Linked DNA regions of Tribolium castaneum. The protein of the gene in region 1 interacts with the protein of each later gene in a pairwise test. Links are inferred from orthologs where the notes say so. Each region holds a gene or a part of one and is shown on either strand. Other genes may lie near its edges.

Region 1 (3,945 bases):
TTGTGAAACCAAAGTAAAAAAAACAATATTTTGAGCTGAGATCAACTAACTAGTAGGTCTGTACTACCTAGCAGTCTTTTATCCCTCTTTGTGCTTTACGAAGGAGAAAGGTGTACGTAAACAAGCTCAATGATAAATATTGAAGAAAAACTTTTATATGCAAGGTTTTTGCGAAGTTGCGGCGTTCCCTTTAACAGATTATAGCATGCATTGATGTCCTTAAGAGCTCTTTAGTAAAATACAATAAGTCAATAACTAAAATTTTTAAATCCGATCCAAAAAAAAGATGTTTGGGGTTAGTAATTTTACTAGGACGATTTAAGTTAAAACGGTTAAGAATAATAAATACATAGTATATACAGTAAAATTTTCCTTAATGGACACCTCTTTACAACGGACATTTTTGTAGGAACGTAACAAGAGCATTGGAAAATAATGTAAGAAAACCTTTCGACAACGAACTCTCTGTATAGTGGACACAGACAAAAAAATCCCCAATAAATATCAAATAAATTTACCTTTTACAACGGACAAACCGAAAGCCCAGAATTAAATATCGATGAGTGTATGATTTTTTTTAGAAAAACGTGATAAAAAGGTTGATGAAGACGATCGTAATAAGAGGAAAACTTGCCTTAGAACTCATGTTCTCTGAATATTTTGAACCTGTTAAAAAATAGCTGAAATTAGCGTGTATTCTGTAACTTTTTTAACGGGCTGTTAGAATTTAACACTGGTTAGAATCGCAAATCAAAGAATTTTATTGGTTACTGCTATAGGAACAACGATTAACGGTCTTTAAATTTTAATGGTTTCATTACAGAATATGTATTATGTATCAAATAAAAATTATAAAAAAAACATTTTTCCTAAAAACAACCAAACAAAAATTGAATATTTTAAGTACAAAATCTGTATATTTTCTTTTATAATACTTATTTATAAATGAATTTTTTTTTATTTATAATAAACCTAGGAATAAAAAGGAAATTCTGCGTACGAGTTAAACATTTTTTTAAATATATTTTTGTGATAAATTAAATTTTAATGTTTGATGGCAGTTTATGGAATGATGCATAAAATAATTTATTTTATAATTTATTTTAAACTGCCCACCTCTCATTAATGGACACGTCTCCAAAACGGACAATTAAAAATTCTCCACCGGTGTCCGTTGTTGAGAGGTTTTCTTCTGTATAACGTACTAGATCGTGTAAAAAAAATCTTAACTTCGCGAATACTTCGCAACACCAAACTCAACTTTAGAAATACGTTACACATTTCTCAGGAATTTGAGAAAAATCTGTTTAAAAAATGTTAAATGTATGTAGGTACTCAATTTCCTAACACCACCAAGGATAGTTTGCGAAAGATTTAATTGCAATCCAAATTAATTTTGTATTAACCCAAAATTTTACAGAGCCACGTGTCACTAAATTAATTGGCTTTCCCGCATCTGATTTAAATTTATTATCTGAACGATCACAAGCAGGATTATGCTACGTCTATGGCCAGATCACGAAGCTGTGAATGTGAATGCTAGTCGACGTTTTACACAATTTTTGCAAATCCTACTACTTCACTGTTTATAACAAAAGGGAAAAGCTCATCCTCATGCGAAAAGCTTCGTATTTTTTTTAAATAACATCAAAAATTTTATTCCCGAAACTTTCTTTTGTAAGTAGTTTGTTTAATTATCACTCGATTCTGGTATGTAAACACTTAATTTTTTTTGTAACACGGACAATAACTTCAAGATTTTTTTACACTGGAATACAATAAATAGTGTTTAAAGAATAGTTTAAGCAGCTTAAATAACAAAACATAAACATGATGAAAAAGTGTTTTTAAAATTAAACTTAACAAAACTTACAACCACAAAGCTGCTACTTGTCCGTAGGTTTCTAGACAGATACTATACGGATATTGACAGGGCTTCAAAATATTCTATAAAACTCTTGAATGAGTAATGTGAGAATTTACTATACGTCATTACTAATTTTCATTTCTCCTTTTTATAAATTGTAGCATAGTTAAAACTGCACTTAAAAATTTGAATTCAAATATTCGTCGATTCCACATCTCAGTTTGAGTGTTGCAATTTTTACGACTGCGAGCTGAGCACAGTCGCCACAAAAGGTCAACCTTCACGCTTCACAGGGTGGACGAATTAAACTCAAGATAATAAATATCGCCCCCTATCCAATCGCGGATTAAAATGGAAGTGCACCCATTTGACAACGGTTACAAGACCATTATTCTGTCAAAGTGGCGACTAACAAGACTTTATCAGATGACAAGAGTTGAGCCTTGTGGTAATAAAGTCGGCGGAGTATGTAAAATAGAAACCTCGCGGTGGAACAACAACCAAAGGTCATGTCGGACTTGGCCAATTTTTTGAAACTGTTTCAAGACTTACCGATCGCGATCAGTTGGGTCCGACGTTGCATCAGGCCTCGGCCGCTTCACCTGAAACGAAGAAGTGATTTCAACGGGAGCTTCGCACTTGACATTCCTATACCTTAGAGTCGCACATCTTATCGATTATCGCGCATCGTGTCGATTGGGCATTGAGGTAATTGCAAGGCATTATAGTCACCATGGTAGTGGCACCCGACGGCTCTCGCGACCACACCACTCAAAGGACCATCGCCACCCGCACTCGACACCGACCAACGCAAAATTTCGAGCTTTACGCACTGCCACAGGGCGAAAACATCGCCAAAAGTCCAAACTCAGCTTGGTCGCGACACCGGACTGCTTTACATTCCTTCCTCCGCGCCTGCAGCAGACTGAAAGCCCTCGCACGAACCGAGGAGGAGGGGTGAACGCACACCTCTCTGGTGGAAGGAGTCCGAACTAACGGCGAGCTTTCGGAACCAATGGCGGTGATACTCCGGGCTCCAATAGTGTGCAGGATAATTATTGTTTTATTGTGGATAATAAGCGGAGGAATACCTGTTCTCGAGAGGCCACGGACTGGAGAAACCGGAAGTTTGGGAAATTTTCAAACAGATGGGAAAATCCGAACTAAATCTCGTTTTTCTCGCATCGATAAGATCGTAATAAATACGCACGACCCTTCCGATTTTACCCCCGAATCACCGGAAATAACACAATGTGTTTATTATGGCCATTGCGAGCGGCTTTTAGGGCTTTATTTAAATACTAGTTTCAGGACTAGATCAGCGGCTTTTGAACAATTAAACGATTGCTTTGTGCCAACTGTGTCAAAATAAGCGGAGGTTAGCGCCAACTGGAACCCGGGGCTCAAATAACACGATCTGCTTCAGAAACTGAAATTATGGGTACTTTCAAACGGTACTAGTTTGCCTATACTTTTTGCACTAAAAAATGGCTTTCCGAGTCGAAGGTTTAGTGGGAGGCTGGGGCCGGGAAGCGCCCATAAATCCGAGTCAGAGTTAGTCCCATTTTTTGTGCAGGTCCCGCGTCAACATTAAAATATTTGACCCAGATGTCACATGTCCCATGGTCCGTTCGTGACCATCATCAAGCCAGCACCAGTTACAATAAAATTTTACCATGGTGAATTCGATTAGGCCCGTGTCCGCGACGAATTTCGCCGTGTACCTCCGTCCGTAATCAACATAAAAATAAATAATTGGGCTTGTGAGCGGGCGTTTGTTTATTTGCTGGTGGCTTTCGTTTAAGGGTTGACTGCCATGAAATTGCGTAACGAGAATGTGGCTGTGATTAGCACGTCCGAGTCCGGAGGATGAGTGGGTGCGGGAAAAATCAAGTGACGGGGTAATATTTCTGTAATATTGCCGATAAGATATTGCAGATTGTTTTGGTTGGGATAAACATGCTGTAATGTGATGCTGTCGACAAGAGAAACGCTGTCGGTTTATGTCGTCGATACATATGGATATGTCTGCCAGACATGCTTGCGTTTGTGGCTTGCATGGACATTGATTAGGAGAT
Region 2 (4,262 bases), about 7.0 Mb from region 1:
ATTTATTTGAGAGAAGAATTATTGACTTGAGTCTTGAAAAAATGTAGTTTCAACAATTTTTTTCGGCATTTTCACCAAAAGTTTATTAACGAAGATGAAAACATAATTAGCAAATTTTTTCGTAAAGTTAAAAAAACATAATGTTATTGTTCAAAAATGCATATCCCATAAACACGTACTTCAACAAGAACCAAAAACAAAAAAAGACATACGATTTAAAACATCGCATAGATCACTATACTTTTTTTATAAAGCTTTTTATATCTTTAATAAATAAAAAAAGAATGGTAATTTAGTTATTTCTCTGTCTTTTGAACAATTATTTTTCGAAAATTTTTGCTAAAAATAACCAAATTAGATCGAAATTAATCTTGTTTTAGCTTGGTTGGCTAGATTTACTCAACTCTTGAACTGCTGGAGACATATTTATATCAAAAATATCGTAAAATTACCAAAAATATATCGAAATTGTTGTTCTTTGTTTATGTCACTCCATTTTGAGCAAAATTTCTTCATAAATAAGCCAAAACATTTTTAAGTTTTGAAACACTTTTTTGAAATAAATCCTCGGACAGTTTTCGCAAAAACAGGCAGAAAAGACACACATGTATCTTAAAATTTACATTATTTTAGAGCATTTTTATACGTTTTACAGCCAAAAAAGGAATTATATCGCGAAATTTCGTTAAAACAAGCCAAAAATTCATTAAATACGACAAAAAGTGTTGTTTTTGGATTTTCAACTGTGTTTTTACAGTTGATATACTCTATCTTTCTGACAATTATTTTTATCAGTTACTCAAGCCTTTAGGAATTTTAATAAATTGAGGATAAATGAACTGACAAAAACAGTTTTTGCAGTGTTTCACAACAATGACACGCTTTTGTTTAAACTTTCATAAATCAAAATCATTATTTATTTACACAACTGTATTTCTTAGCTAACTGTACTTTCGAAAATTACTCTCTACAAACATTTTTTTCCTTTTACAACGAATGCTTGTGGTTCTCCAATTTTTTAATTTATTTTGGTTACCTAATCTCTCGCGTGTGTTTCGACCAGTTGTCGATTAACCGTTTTATAAAAAAAAATTAAAAAAAAAACGTATTTGCACAGACACGTTTCATCAAAAACAAGTTTAAAAATTGCTCGTTAAACGTAAATAAAAATCGGATTATTCCACTGTATTATCGGAAATGTCTTCAAAATAAAATCTTGCAAAATCGGTATAATTATATTATAATCAATGCATTTATAACAACGTAATTCAGTGACACCAACATTTACATATAGTAAACAGTTTTTTGTCCCTAATACATGGCAACACCTGTTATTATCACACACCCTTTGGGAAATATTTTCACGGTTGGGTTTCAACAATTTTTATAAACATTAGCAACTAAAATCACCGATAATTTAGTGTTGCCAATAATTTTTTACCCAACTATGAGAAAAATTGTGGTCAATATAATTTATTTATTTATTTGAACGCACGGTATTTTTAACACCTTTCTAAGTAAAACGCATTTATGTTACGGGTCAGTTGCCATTTTAATTGTTTCAGATTTTATCCACTCTTTGCAAGCTTTGTTCAGCGAATTATTCGCACAATAAATGAAAATCAAAACTGTTAGGAATAACAAAAAGCAGTTTGGGCTAATTTACAAGTTTAAAGTTTTTGTGTAAAAAATAAGGAAAAATCGACGGCGTTCCTCGAAAATAAAACGCAAAATCAGTTATCAAAACAAATATCAATCGCCTTATCGATGTTATTTTAGCTGAGATAAGTGGCACTCACCGGATTTCGCGCTGTTTTTGTCGTTCTCCCGGGCACTGGAGGAGCCGTCGCCTCCACCCCCCGTGTTGTTTTTCTCCCCCGACGTGCTCCCCCCGGGCGATACGCCCTCCCGATTTTGCGTTCCCGGCAACGCAGGAAAGTCCTCTGACGACATAGTAAACTCACTCGCTTCGGACGTGGGCTGCTTGACCATTCCTACGTAGGGCTTCGCCCCCGGCATGGGGCTCGGCTGTGGAACGTTATCACCCGAACTTCGATTCGTTAACGAGGGAAATTCACTAAGATCCAGTAACGAAGGGGTGTTAGTGTCTCCTGAGCCAAACACAGAATTAAAGGAACTATAACCTCCCAACGAGTTCATGTTACCCATTTGGCTACTATTTCTACAACAGAACAGAAATGTTGCCATTTGCGCTTGACACTTAGGTTATGGTCGCTTTTGACATAAACAAACCCTAGCTGCGGCAGATTGAGGTCAGCTAGAGCTGCTTATGGCGGTGGAAGGATAGTTACCCCATTGCGGGAATTCCCCGCCGGTCTGAAGGCGCCCTTTGCCCGAAAACGGGGGTAACATGACCAGACATAGAGTTACTTCCGAAGCTAACACTGGATCTTCCGAGGCTGCTACCTCCTATGTTCCTTGTAAAGTTCAAATTCGCCATAGCTATCTGGTGCGGGGCGAGCCACCTTTTAGCATAACGGAACTGCAGTAGGACACTGAAAAAATCGCTCCTTGCTTCGCCACACTTCTTATGTTAAATTATCAGCACAAAAAATACAAATAACATCATAAACACACGAAACTTAAATGCACGATTTTCGCTTCAACTAGATTATTGAGACCACTTGATGAAGAATGCACGGTTCCAGGCTCGGTTAAAAGCACACCAAAAACCTCTCGCTATACAAAATAAAGGCGTAATTTTGACAAAGTAGATGTTATTGTCCAAGTTCGGTCCGCCATTACCGTCGGAAATGTCAAGATGGAGAGTGTCAACTGTCAGCCACGGCTTCGACCCACCGCCGAAAGATGGACATTGCCGCAGCCAATGCTAGTTGCATAACCCACACCTTCAATTACTCGATCCTAACTTAATTTCACCTTTACCCACTTCATAAAAAACACAAAAAACTAAGTTCTCGTGCCCCGTAAGCAAAAATAAAAAATATACTTACCTTATTCAACGTTTTCCGTATAGTCAAAGTATTCAAGCGGTAATGTTGGTTGCATAATTCGCATTATTTAATTACTTTGCTTATAAAAATGTTATTAACTATTATTTATTATCTTATTATGTTGATCGCCCATTGATATCAATAATTTTGACTAACAAAATCATAGGTCCATTGTTACCCGGCGCATCCACCATTTTTGCAAAAGTGTAACCAATAGATGGCACTGTTTTTTTGTGATTTTTTTTTATAGAAACTTTAATCAAAATAACGAAAACACAATCCACAATTAGATTTCGGAAACTTATAACGTCAAAATTTGACTTCTTATCGTATTATAAGACAATTTGTATAACGATATTGAATCGTCTGATGCGAAATAAAACAAAACACTATTATAAACGTATATTTATTATTATTACTTCGTAACAATGATTAAAGACATGCACCTTATAAAAATCGAATGACTTTTCTGGTTGGTAACAAAACTTACCAGGAAAAAAGGAAAAACACAAGTGTGTTAATATTCGACAATATTTCAAACTTGTGCAGCTTACAAATACGACTAACTTAATGCCGACTGGCCTACGACTAATCGACTAACCCAGCCTGCACGATATCACACAGAAAAAGACTCGAAAATTCACAAGATAACTCCAAATACCCAATAGAATTAAAGCTTAATTACAACTGAATCAAACACTTATTCAGCACAGCTAAATAAAAAAATATCAAAAGCAATAAATTCCAATAAAATAAACCTTAAAATTAACTCAATTATCTTGCAAATAATCAAAATACTGATTCACACACACACTACTAACAGTCCCTCCGGTAAATTTTCTCCATAATTTTGAAAAACAACTTGTGTGGAAGTCCTTTGGAAATTTGCTGGATGTGTGTACGGATGATGTTGAAGCTCTCCTCCTCATAGATGGCATAAGTGTTTGGCAAACTCAACTCTTCGTACAGGTTTCGGATGATTCGGACTGCTTCAGGGTCGGGACGGCCGTAATACTCCTCCATTATTTTTCGCTGGGTGGGGTTGGCCCTTTGGAGGGCCACCACAGCCAGCCAGGAGCACTTGCCCTCGCGGATGTCGTTGCCCTTCTTGCCCGTCACCTCAGGGTCGCCGAAGCAGTCCAGGAAATCGTCCTGTTCAAAATTCGAACTGTGATTTCTCGACGCAAAAATTCTCAGAAAATTGTAAAATAAAATAACGCCTGTTATTCAATTTTGTTAAATTAAAATTTTGATTTCTGCTTTAGACCAAAACTAGCTAAATTAGAA

What was found. The genes of interacting proteins can lie anywhere in the genome.
Region 2: the proteins of eya (region 1) and Rga interact in a two-hybrid assay, tested with the Caenorhabditis elegans proteins (2 studies listed by BioGRID). The link is inferred for Tribolium castaneum from reciprocal best matches to the Caenorhabditis elegans genes eya-1 and ntl-2.1.

What each region holds. Positions count from the first base shown.
Region 1 is NC_087396.1:15,480,449-15,484,393, reverse strand, and holds the start of eya (eyes absent homolog 2), read right to left. Parts: upstream 2,803-3,945; 5' UTR 2,603-2,802; coding exon 2,522-2,602; intron 2,470-2,521; coding exon 2,420-2,469; intron 1-2,419. UniProt on the Caenorhabditis elegans protein: Tyrosine protein phosphatase. Acts probably as a transcription regulator in the embryonic and postembryonic development of several tissues including pharynx, vulva and gonads. Required for the development of anterior tissues during late embryogenesis.
Region 2 is NC_087396.1:22,481,521-22,485,782, reverse strand, and holds the start of Rga (regulator of gene activity), read right to left. Parts: upstream 2,806-4,262; 5' UTR 2,462-2,805; coding exon 2,313-2,461; intron 2,183-2,312; coding exon 1,800-2,182; intron 1-1,799. Other genes in the region: Fpps (farnesyl pyrophosphate synthase), read right to left, coding at 3,792-4,127.